Nothobranchius furzeri: one gene and its partners. The protein of the gene in region 3 interacts with the protein of the main gene of each other region in a pairwise test. Links are inferred from orthologs where the notes say so. Each region holds a gene or a part of one and is shown on either strand. Other genes may lie near its edges.

Region 1 (4,091 bases), on a different chromosome or scaffold from region 3:
GTCACTTTAACATATGCTGTTACTTTTGATGTCTTTCATGAGGATGGTGACATGATGCTTCTTCATGTGAATAATCAAGGATTTCACTTTTGTAGCTTAAAACACATGCTTGATCAAAGTCAGACTAAAATAATCACTAAAGTTGTGGAAAAATCGGTAACAAGATTTTTCTAATCCGGATAATAAATGTGATACACAAAACCTCAGATGAAAACATGGTGCACTCAAGGGTTTAGTGGCTTGTAAAAATGCTTTCTGCAGAAATAACTTGTGTCTTTATTGCCTATGAAATTACCAGGCACTTTGTCCTGAAAGACATTTAACTCATTCTGAATCACGATCATGCAGTGGAAGATTTGTGAGGTGGTTTATTCATAGCTCGGATCTTTTGAAGTTGTTTAGAACATTTTAATGTGGATAGATGAATAATCTCAGTTTGCTGAGGCCCTAATATTCCTTCTTTAGCTTTATGTTGGTATCATCCGCCAGGGTTTTGCACAGATTTCAGACCAAACTAATCAGTCCTGATGGACCTCCACTTCTTCTTTGCTGCATGTGTGTGTATTCTCCTCCCAAACCCCTTTATCCGGACACACAGGTGTGATCACGGATGTGCCACTTCTTTGCTTTTCCTTTTGCTGGTTGCACATAAGCTATACTGCCTCTATTATTTTCATTGGGCCTGCTCCTGTTAACACTTTCTCAGTACATCTTTGCACGCTTCTTAAAACAACTTTAATCTCAAAAACTCATTCATATAAACAACTTTATTTTGCATTATATCATTACTCTGGTGGTGCTATTCAGAAAGCCTGACTGGATGCATTGAACACAGAACCAGATTTGCACAAACATACATTTTCTTTGCTCATTTCTTCTGTGAATAAGCAAATAAACACACATGGCAAGCAAAGCATGGGAAGTCTTTGCAGAGATGAGCAAAATAGTTATGATATGAAATTTGATTTAAAAAAATCATCTTTCATCCTTATTAAAATGTTTCTTCCAAACAAAGCAGAAATTGATGACTAAAAGAATCAAGTGTGGCTGTAAGAAGAAAGAAAATCATAAAACATTCTCATCTGTTGCCAGCAGGGGGCCTTGTTGCTCCTGTATCTCCCGCTCTCCCTCTCTCCTCATCTCCTCTGGTCATCCTCCAGTCGCAGTTCTCGGTTCTAGAGGCAGGACAGCTCGCCTCGCGCTGTGCGTCCTGGCATCCACCTGTACCGCGGATGGTTCTGCTTACTGGACCAGACCTCGCCTCAGTACATGGCGTAGTTTCTGCACGATACTTAACGTTTTCCCTCCTTCCTCCCTGGATTCGCCTTTTATTTCATTCGCATCACCGGAGCATCTAAAGTTGTGATGATGCCTCCGACCTGCAGCGTTTGGGATTTTTAATCGCTTCATTTGAGAGGCGGATTTATTGTAATCGCCTGTGATTCAACAACACGGTCTCTCGCAAGTGGACAAATCATGGACTAGTTGTTTCAAAAAGACAGTCACTATGGGATTATTTCAGCGGTTTCTGGTTCTCTGCATGTTTTGCATCTCCTCAGGTAGGACACAATGTTGCCATCTTGCAACATGCAGATGTAGTCATTTTGTGGCATTTTTTGTTTTGTTCGGATTTCACCAGATGCTTTGGATTCTGTAGAAAATGTGATTTCTTTAGATAATCTTGTGTGCTCTTGAACTCATAACAGCATTGGTTGTGTTGTGTGTTGTGAATAAGTTGTAGGTTTTGGGGTTGACCCTGCCCTGCGCATCAGCGTGTTTGATGAACTAACTCTTGGAGAAGGCTTTGATGGAGTTACTCAGGTCCAGGGCTTCCACGGCGAGTCTAGAGCTTTCCACTTCCAAGGTACTGAAACACACGTTCCCTGGATCTTTCCCCCGATTAAATCTAGCTCATGGGGTGGCTCATCCTCCTGTGCTGACGCTTTTTTTTTTTGCAGGGGCGCATCCAGAAAGTTTTTTTTTCTTTAAAGAGTGCACCAACTGGGTCCTCTAATAAATTTGGGGTGGCTCAACAAAACCAATGGCCATAATATAATTCAGTGAGTTTTGTTATACAATTATAAGATATAGAGTAAGCTATTATTGAATTCATATTTATTCTATGCTACATTTTAAGTAGGTGGCAAGAGTTATACAATCGACAAAATTTGTATTTTGGTTAGAGGTTTAGTTCCAAACACAGTATAGATGGCAGAACAATGGCAAAACACAATGGAGGCCTATTACCTGCTTACATTTGGGCTCCATCAGCTACTATCTGCTTTTATAGGAATGCTTTCTGTCCATTTGTTCCTCATCAACAGTCAAATAAAAATGACTTTTATTTAGTTTAGGTCTATATGAGTTTAAAATGTCTGAATTTTATAAAACTGTCAGAGTTTTGTTCTAAACTGGGCTGTAGATATTTTATGCTAGACTGAATTGATGCTATAAAAATAATTAATTTTATACAATTAGAAATTTTCATCTCCACTTAGTGAACACCTATGCCACCCACTGTCAACACTGAGAAACTGCAGATTCATTAAAATGTGAACTCCTGATTTTTTATGCTTTAAATATTTTTATTAAAATACTGGTGTCCTTTCAAGATATAGCCTACTTGTGATTAAAGTGTACATTTATGAAGGTTTTGAGTTTTTTCTTATGAGAACTGTCACATATTTTGTACCTTTATTTTATTTTCAACCTTTACCCATAGTCAGTCCGGAAGAATCCCATTGAGTCGTGTTCAGATTTTTCTGAGGGCGTTTGATGATCCAGTAATACCTCTGTCCAAATACCCATAAATGTGATTCTTACTGTTCATAACAGCAACATATTGCATGGATTATTTTTGCGCCTGTGACAGGAGAAAGCCTCAGGGGGTTTTCCCACCTGCCTGAACAATCGGCAATATTAGGTCATGAAACAGCGAGGGGTCCAGGGAGGAGGAGGTGGTGGGAACATGCAAAGAATTGTGGGAATAAGTTATCCTAATCAGATTAGACTGGGGACACAATTCAAGGATATGTTTTTGTGGGTCTGAGGAGTGAAAGAACACTTTGCTAAACAAGTCATCTTCTGGAAAGTGACAGAGCCGTTTGGATCATTTTCTTTTCCAAAATAAGAACAAGCAGAGTGAGTCGTGTGTCCAGGTTTTCAGTTTTTAATTAAAAACATTCACCGTGATGTTTAGTAGAACTGCGTACGATGGAGATAACAACATTTTAAAGATGATGTGCAGTGAAACATCTCCACGTTTTCCACATTTAACTTCAGACACTCATTACCATTCAGCTAATACTGTTAACGGCTCAGTCACGAGGATGGAGATGATTATCTTGACTCTGATCAAAGTAGCAGAAAGGGAAATGGATGTTTGGCTTTGAGATCTGCTGACATTTGAATGACCCCTGGAATCACATAATATTCCAAATAGTTGTTTTGGAACAAACTCCTCGAACAGTCGTCAGGATTTGTCATCTTCTTGCTGATACCTTCTAGCCTCCATGCACAGCCGCTGGGGCGGCATTGCTGCTTGCCTGGTGCAGCAGCTCCAGCGTCTTTGTGAAGGCAGACTGTTTGACGGCTTATGTGTAGACAAACACTGAAAGTTGCTTTATGCCGAGCTGGTGTAATAGAGCGATGGAGAGAGACTGAGACTATAGGGAAGAGTTGGAAATAAACAAAGACACTTATAAAAAGAAGCTCCCGCTGCTTTTGTCACCAAATGAAAACGTGCTCTGCAACCTTCTGCCACCTCTCCGTCATCACGCCCTCGTGTTTGGCTGCGTTACCTTTTCTACATTCAGTCGCTCGTGTGGAGCAGGCGTTGTGTGTTATTTATGGCCAAGCTTGCCTCCATTCTTCATTTGGGATGTCTGTGTTAAGTCAGTAATGTTGGGTGAGGGGGAGGCGGGGGAGGCAGGCTGCATTTTGGCAAAGCAGACCTGGGCCCTGTGCTTGTTTGTTATCGGAAACAGACAGAGGGAGGCACATTCCTAGTCGAGACGCAGAAATGAGTGAGCCGGGATGAGAGAGAGGAAGGAGAGCGCTGTCTGCCAGCTGTTTGATAGACTGTGTTGATA
Region 2 (4,041 bases), about 3.0 Mb from region 3:
CGTGTCACTAAAGAAAAGCTTGAGTTTTACCAGTCAGCAGCAGGTGATGACAGCCATGAAAGGACACAAATACGAACAAAAGTGGCAGAATATTCATCAACATTTTGTTGCAATTGTGTTAAAAAAGACATTTCCCCAATAGCCTTTCAGCTCTGCTCCAGATAGACAGATTCGTGCAGTAAGACGTATTGTACACACTTTGACCTGCACAAAATCCTGCTCTGTAGTCATGATTCAGTCAGTAGTGACTCCACGCTGCTCTTTGCTGCCCTCACAAGCCTCTCAGAGGAATTTTTCATCCTCTAATGGAAAACATGAGCGCCTGTGAACTGACTGTCTGATTAAGGCCAAAAACACCGACTCCAGGTGTCAAAGAGGCTGAAATGCATTCAAAAGTCCTTTTTCCTCGCAGAAAGCTGATGTTTTCACTCTGTATACAACTCTTAGACATCAATGAGTTTATTGCATGCTTGGGCTTTATGTTTTGAATGAAAGCTGCATTTATGTCTCTTAACAGCTACATGCTTGCTTAGTATGAGGATTGCTGTAAAGTCACTGGCACTAGTCAGTGACTTGATGCAATTTGCTGGGTTCCTTATATAGGAAACATTATTTCTGATTGGTTTAATGAACTGACCCGGATTGGAATGTGAAGTGCCTTGAGACGACTCTTGTCGTGACTTGGCGCTATATAAATAAAATTGAATTGAATTGAACTGAACTCTAATATAGTACAGCTAATATATATATATAGATGCACATAAATGAGTCAAGTGCTTCTCTCACATTCGTCTAAAATCCTCCACCAATAACACGGCTCCGACCAAAACCAACTATTGGACCATCTGGGTGTCAGTGTCACCGATCCGCCACACTACCACATTGAGCCGGAAGGAGAAGTTCTCGATTTATCGGTCGATCTGCGTTCCTACCCTCACCTATGGTAATGAGCTTTGGGTAGTGACCGGAAGAACGAGATTGCAGATACAAGCGGCTGAAACGAGTTTTCTCCACAGGATGGCTGGGCTCTATCTTAGAGATAGGGTGCGAAGCTCAGTCATCCGGGAGGGGATGGGAGTAGACCGGCTGCTCCTCCACATCGAGAGGAGCCAGTTGAGGTGGCTCGGGCAGGATGCCTCCTGGACACCTCCCTGGTGAGGTTTACCGCGAGAAGACCTGAAGGAAGACCCAGGACACGTTGGAGGGGCTATGTCTCTCGACTGGCCAGTAAACGCCTCAGGATTCCCCCTGAGGAGCTGGCCCAAGTGGCTGGGGAGAGGGAAGTTTGGGCCTCCCTGTTTAGGCTGCTGCCCCCGCGACCCGACTCTATTCTCCAAGTGAGGTCATGGACAACAAAAGATGTTTGGACCTAGAAACAACGAGTGGTGTTCTGCACTATCTGGTTTACTCTGGCAATGTGGGTTTGCAGTTCCAATGAACACGGATCCAGGAAAGACACCCGAGAGGAGGGGTGAGCGCTCCGAGACTGTGATTGCATTCAAAACTTGTTTGCAGATTCGCTAGCCAGTTGAGATTGCTGGGGAGAGGGATGTCTGGAGCTCCCTGCCTAGGCTGCTGCCCCACAACCTGACTCCGGATAAGCGGATGACAATGGATGGATGGATGGATGGATGGATGGATGGATGGATGGATGGATGGATGGATGGATGGATGGATGGCTATAGCAGCTTTAAAGATTAACAAGTTGTACTTTACAGGGGACATTGTTACCAGAAGAGGCTTCCATGTTGAGGTAACCATCCAGCAAAGACCTGAAGCCCGTCAGTCCACCCATGGCCGCATAAGGAACACCTTTACCAGCTGGCTGACCTCTTGCCTCCCTTTCCTGCTTTGTCTCAACCTGTGAAGAACAAAAGCAATACGTTCATAACTATAAATACTGTGTTTGTTTAAAGTCTCCGTACCAGGGTTTGGTGTGCATAGCAGGGCTGGCCACAGCCACAAGTGTACGGACTCTGGAACCCGGAGCAGAAGTCACCTGGGACGTAAAGGATTAAAAAACACAAATGAAAGAACTTCAGTTTGAGTGTGGAGTGAGTTTGGTTTGGATGCCATGCTTACACTTCTTGCACAGATGTGCTGCATCTTCCCTGTGATCCTGGAGCTGGTGTTTACACCTGCAGCGCACAGGACTCGATCCCACAAGTGGAACGAACCTGAACGCAGAGCAGAGACATCCTTTGACCCGACACGGTAGAGCGAGAGGTCGCTCAGAGGGCACCACCTCCCACTCGGTCTTATGCTGCTTATACCTGTTTGATAATAAATTGTTCCCATTAATCTGTCCGTGTGAGTGAGATTAGGGTGTGTGATGTAATCTGAGATGAAAGGTTACCTGTGGGTGCAGAAGCACTGCGTCTCAGGGCCAATCTGCTTACAGTCAGCACCTCCAGGTACACCAAAGCTCACGTACAACCTGTTCTGCACACGTTGAGGTAAAACCTTTCTCCTGTACTCCTCATATTGCTCTGGAGTGAAGAGGTTACCTCCATCATCCTCACCCACAATCCTTAGAAACACATCACAACGACTTATAACAACAGTTAAGACACGTGCTGATAAATCTGTTGCTATTTGTTCTTAGACGTCGTTTAGTTGCTACAGTTCTGAAAACGCTGAGAGTCGGGAGGGAAGCTCCTACCTGGTGTACTCCCAGTAGTCATCCACAGCTTTTAAAGCTGATTTATTCAGACCTTTTCTAGCCATTACCTTGGATATCACTACTTGTGTGTGTTGTTTTGCTGTCTACTGCTAAGCTCAGAACGACTGTTTACAACCTGAAAGAAGGTTGCCATAGAGATAGATGCAGCTCTCCCTCTAGTGGGCAAAACTCAAACTGCACACAAAAATCCAGACGTGCCAGACTTTAATGAACCAACGTTGCAAGTTAAAGTTGTAAATGTATCATATCAGAAATGTCCTTTTTATTAATGATACATATTTTTGGGGCAGCAGTAGCTCAGGTGGTAGAGCGGGTTGCCTCATGATCAGAGGGTCATGGGTTCGATTCCAGCTCCCGCCAGGGCTATCCTGCCGTTGTGTCCTTGGGCAAGACACTTCACCCAACTTGCCTGTGTTAGTGGTGGTCAGAGGGGCCGATGGCGCCAAATGGCAACCTCGCCTCCGTCAGACCTCCCCAGGGCGGCTGTGGCCACAGGTAGCTTACCATCACTAGCAGTGTGTGAATGTGAGTGTGTGTGAAAGCATCTTTGGGTGTCTAGAAAAGCGCTATATAAGTTCAATGCATTATTATTATTATTATTATATTTCATGGCAAATCTTTGTGATATTCAAAACCTTTCTAAATGCATCACCACACTTATCTTCTTTTTTTATATTTCATTAACGTTTCTTTGTTGTAACTTTGTCATCTTCATCACACGGACATCCACTTCTTTACGAGAACTGACGCATTTTTATGCATAAAAGTTAAAAATAGCATCCTCTGTTAGGAGAAAAACACTTTAAATTCTGCAGGAGTGAAAGTTAACAGCTTCTTAGACCTTAACAAGTTAGTGTCTTCTTTAGGTTTCAAAGCCTTTACCTGATTTTACATTAAACTATCATTAAAGGGATACTATGCCGTTTTGGCTTGCTTTTAGCACCCCCTAGTGTTTGTTAATAAAAACAAAAGTGAAACTTATCTCCTCGTTGTCATTTTAAAAGGAACTCCGCCTATAAGGACGTGTATGCCCTAATAAGCCACGAGTTTTCTGTTGTTCCAAACTATGTTGTTAGAAACATACAAACTATTGCTGTTTTTTATAAATCTATAATATTTAGTACATTTTTGACATACATAGGACGCCATGTTTTCTGCACGCAATGCACTCTGGGGGCGATGACGTATATTGGTTGCTCTTGGAAGAACAGCTATTGACGCTATAGTGTTTGTTTATGCACTCACCATATTAATAATTAAGTAAAATGCCGCATTGTGCTGCTTTTGGATGTAATTTCTAGTCAGAGGGCAACAAGGGGAGTGATGTGAGTTTACACAGCTTTCCCACTGGCAAGAAG
Region 3 (4,313 bases):
GCGCGCGTACTAGGTCATTGCGTTGCTCACTTAACAGCACCCTGCGCTGCATACCCGCCATGACCCGGATACACCACTTTACATTTGTTTTCGTTTGCAGACTCGTGTCTGCCTTTTTTTGCTCACGTTACAGATCAAACTTATCTGAAGATACAGAGATGTTCTTGCAGACACATTGCACAATTTAAACCTAAAGCTCCAGGGTGATCCAAAAGCTCCCGGATGGAGGACTAACTTTAATAAATGTTCACACAATGTCATTCACGAACAAAGACTCTGGTTTTGATACATTTAAACGTTGGTATTTACAGGCCCGTGTGGCCCAGATAGGCTGCTCAGGTAGAGGTGTACGTGTCCGTGCCAGTGGAGGACACCGTGGATGAGCTGGGAGAGGGCGTGGACGGCGCTGAGACGGACCTCTCAGAAGCGGCATCGTCTAATTTCTCTTGATTTATTTCTTCCGGGTGCGATGACTGGACCTTAGCCGGCAGCATCCCCTCTTTCTCGCGCTTTTTCTGCTTCATCCTCCGATTCTGAAACCAAATCTTCACCTGAGTCTCATTCAGCTGCAGCGCAGCAGCAATCTCCACTCGGCGCGCCCGGGTCAGGTATTTGTTGAAGTGGAATTCTTTTTCCAGCTCTGTCAGCTGCTTGGTGGTGAAGTTGGTCCGGACGATGTTTGGCTGGCCCGCATAGCCGTACTCGCCGGAGCGACCTGGGGACAGGAAGAGGGATTCAAGTTTATTTTCTCACCCAAAGGACGCACAAACTGTGCGATTATCCAAAAGAACCAACTTTTACGCAGCAGGCAAAGAAAACCTAATTATTTTACATATAAAACACACTCTATAGTTAAAGACAAATGTCTTTAAACCAACTTTTAAAAGAAAGGGGCGCACGCTTGAAGTGGAAACATGGACATTTAATGCGTTTGCGCGTCAACGCGCTCGCAGTGTCAACATCTCCTGTGTGGATTCCAGTCTGCTTGACCGATTAAAACCAATTAAAACCAATAATAGCAACAGACTAGATTCCCACCTATCTCCCTCGTGCTGGTACAGCTCTGCACCCACCTGTTTTCGGTGGATTTCTTTTGACTTTCATCCAGTCGAAAGTCTGCGCAGAAGATGCGCTCTCTGACAGAGGTGAGCAGCAAGCTTCCAGGTGAGCTGCATGCAGAGGTGACAGCGGGTTGGAGGCCCCAGGATAAGAAGGTGCCTGTTCATGACCCCCGCCATAAGCAGCATACTGCAGCTGGCCCAAGGTGGCAGCACTGTAGCCATGGCGATGCTGAGACACCATGGAGGAAGAGATGTTACCTGAAAACATCAAAGGGCTGCACTGGGGGAATGCAGGTGCAGAGTCTACTTCCTGGTTGAGTGTGTAGTGGTTGTACGTGGCGCAGAAACTTTGGGGCCCATAGTTAGAGCCACAGGCCGGGTGGGCCCCATAGGAGAGACCCATAGAGGTGGCAGTAGGCTGGTAAGAGGCCGGCTGGTGAGGGATGCTGTCAGGGGAAGTCCTGTTTGCCATGAAGTGCTCATCCGCCCCGCAGCTGCTGATTGCAGCCCCGCAGGACTGGAAAGTTGTAATCCCGTGGTCCGAGTGGAAAGCCCTGATCGAACATGAGCCACCCTCACCGCTCATCACCGAGTAATCTAGGAAGCTGCTCATTGTAGCATCGTTAGTCTGGGACCAGGAGACTGTCCTCTCCCCCTCTGATCTCTCCACACTCTCACCCTAAAGTGACCGTGCCAACCTTTACCTTTCTGTCCCTATCAGTGCAGGGAGGGGGGTGCTGGGGATATCAATGAACGGGCACTGTCACGTGGGCACGGGTCAGCCAGTGAGGGTCCTTGTCCCTTTAGCCGGTGACAGATTGGTGTTTGAGGGGCTATTTAAATTCCAGGCGCTCGTCGATCAAGGTGACGCGCGTCGCCACTAATGTATTGGCCGAGCAAACAATGGGCTGGGAGGCAGACGGAGGTGGACAGCTCCGGGACACACGAGGAGCTGCTGAGACGGTGAACCCGGTGTCTTTTAACCCCCCTGCTGCGCAATCTCACACTGAGGAGAGATGTCATCCAAGGTGGACCGCTCTGCACTCTGACCTCAGGTATTTTTAGAACAGAGAAGTGTGAGTCTGTGTGCGTGCGCGCGTGTGTTGGCGTCTCCGTGCGTATAAGCCCTGGTGTCGCATGTGTCATTCTGTCCAGGAAGGATGGATGGCTGAGAGTGCGCGCGCTCGCTGCAGCCGCGGGCTATCTTTAGGCTATTAATGTCCCATTCCGATGTGAAATGTTTCACGCTGGAACATTAAGGGATTTTCTGGGCAAATATTGTTACAATGTGATGGAGAGGACGTGTTTCCCCTGTTAAATACATCCATCCCATCGCACCAAGCCACCTTCCAGCAGAATTTCGTTTCCTCTTAAGGTCGCAGCAGGAGCAGGTTTGTGCATTTCACGTTACGAGGAGAGATGATCCGGTCATATATTCATAAAACACCGCAAAAGGATGCGCAAAAAGCTCAAATTACGTTTAAAATGTGCCTGAAGTAGCGCACAAACGTGATTAGGAGACAAAACCATTAAGGTGATGTGATATTAATGTTTTGTTCCGTTCTCGGGTCATAGGTCAGCCATCTACCAGAGTTCCAGTCCCGCATGTATTCATTATGCATGTATGGTGATCAAATGATATAATAATGCGAAGCCTGCTAATGCGCATATGTAGCCCGAGGTGCGAGTGGGCTGATTATCCTGTTAAGTTCATCAAATAAAGCTGCTGGGAAAACGAATGGTCACGGGAGGCGCGAGAGCGGAGGGGAGTGAGGGGGTTGTAGCAGATGCCCAACCTCTAACCGAGGAAGGAATAGAGGAGAGGGAGGGAGGGAGGGCGAAGGGAAGGATCAGATGGAGGGATGAGCGCCCCCTCAGGCTGAAGATAGACATGCACTTAAATAAACGTGCTTCTGTTATTAAGTAGATTAATTCAGCTCAGAAAAGCGTGATTCAGATTTTACACTCTATTTATTTTTCCTACAAACGTCTAAGTTGTCTCACTGGTACTCAAACAAGCAGTATCAGTAAAATATTAGCAACATTCAAATGTGCAGCTTTTTTCCATTAGTCAAATGTAGTTCTACTTTGTCTTAAATGTAATGTTTTAGGATGTTAGAAAAACAAAATTAGATGTGAAAATGTTCAAAGACTTGTTGCAAACTACATAGCAGAGGGAGGGAGAGAGAGAGAGAGAGAGAGAGAGAGAGAGAGAGAGAGAGAGAGAGAGAGAGAGAGAGAGAGAGAGAGAGAGAGAGAGAGAGAGAGAGAGAGAGAGAGAGAGAGAGAGAGAGAGAGACGAACTGGTTTCCATTCCACCCCCACCCCTCTCCAGCAGCTGCCTCTGTAGTGAGTGGGCGCGGAGGATCCATCGCGTCTCTGCTGCTTGAGGCCAGCCGGGCCCCGCGGAGATTCCGCGGCTCTTTGTGTGGCCGCGGGGGCGCAGAAAAGGCGCGCTGTCTCGGAATGATTTGGTTATGCAGGCCCGTAGTGCAGGAGAGCAGCATCTGCCCCCTGCTTCCTCCTACCACCCCCTCATCTGAACACACGCGCGCGCGCGCGCACACACACACACCCACACACGCACACAGCCAAAGTTAGAGCTGATTTTCTGCTTTCGGCTAAGTTTGACACGTTTTGAAAAATCACTGCAGCTTTCATCTCAACTGGTGTTTTTTAGTGATTCTGAGTTAAACTGGATTATTGAGTTCCCATAAATCCAATCAAAGCTGCGCAAGAGTGCTAAAATGTTCATAATCCCTTTATTGAAGTGAGGGGTTTGAAACGCACACAAACCAGTCTTGTCTTTAAATAAAAAAAATCACAGATTCCACCAGTGTGAGTGGAGAAGCGACGCTAAATAAGAGCAGCTTTAACCTGAGCTGCTGCTGCTGCTGTCTCCGAGTCAGAGCCGCGTGTTAAACAAGCCATAAAAATGAATTATTACCAAACGCACGCAGAGAGCTCGGCCCCTTTTAGCTTAGGAATCGGGGAGTCCCGCATGAAAACGTAAGTGGGGTTTTTATTTGTGCACATTACGCCACAATTGCTCTCTTTAATGTCCGCCTCATTCATGCCACGGAGTGATTTATGAGCTCCTGAAGGCAAACATGGGTCGGGTGTTTGCTTGCAACTTGCACGCCGTGTTTGGAGCCTTGTCATGCTCAGATCCTGGGTGCAAATTTGGTCTTCTAATTATTTATTCCTGCAGCTGAAATTGGAAATAGCTCAAATTATGGCTTTGCGCATTTA

Evidence for each region.
Region 1: the proteins of hoxa1a (region 3) and nell2a interact in binary tests that used the Homo sapiens proteins (3 or more experiments, as listed by UniProt). The link is inferred for Nothobranchius furzeri from reciprocal best matches to the Homo sapiens genes HOXA1 and NELL2.
Region 2: the proteins of hoxa1a (region 3) and fam221a interact in binary tests that used the Homo sapiens proteins (3 or more experiments, as listed by UniProt). The link is inferred for Nothobranchius furzeri from reciprocal best matches to the Homo sapiens genes HOXA1 and FAM221A.

What each region holds. Positions count from the first base shown.
Region 1 is NC_091744.1:61,426,205-61,430,295, reverse strand, and holds the start of nell2a (protein kinase C-binding protein NELL2a), read left to right. Parts: upstream 1-1,289; 5' UTR 1,290-1,507; coding exon 1,508-1,559; intron 1,560-1,735; coding exon 1,736-1,864; intron 1,865-4,091. UniProt on the Homo sapiens protein: Plays multiple roles in neural tissues, regulates neuronal proliferation, survival, differentiation, polarization, as well as axon guidance and synaptic functions.
Region 2 is NC_091751.1:26,510,145-26,514,185, reverse strand, and holds the start of fam221a (protein FAM221A), read right to left. Parts: upstream 2,803-4,041; 5' UTR 2,728-2,802; coding exon 2,663-2,727; intron 2,531-2,662; coding exon 2,357-2,530; intron 2,274-2,356; coding exon 2,083-2,273; intron 2,000-2,082; coding exon 1,926-1,999; intron 1,862-1,925; coding exon 1,732-1,861; intron 1-1,731.
Region 3 is NC_091751.1:29,552,074-29,556,386, forward strand, and holds the start of hoxa1a (homeobox protein Hox-A1a), read right to left. Parts: upstream 2,843-4,313; 5' UTR 1,675-2,842; coding exon 1,074-1,674; intron 716-1,073; coding exon 336-715; 3' UTR 1-335. UniProt on the Homo sapiens protein: Sequence-specific transcription factor. Regulates multiple developmental processes including brainstem, inner and outer ear, abducens nerve and cardiovascular development and morphogenesis as well as cognition and behavior.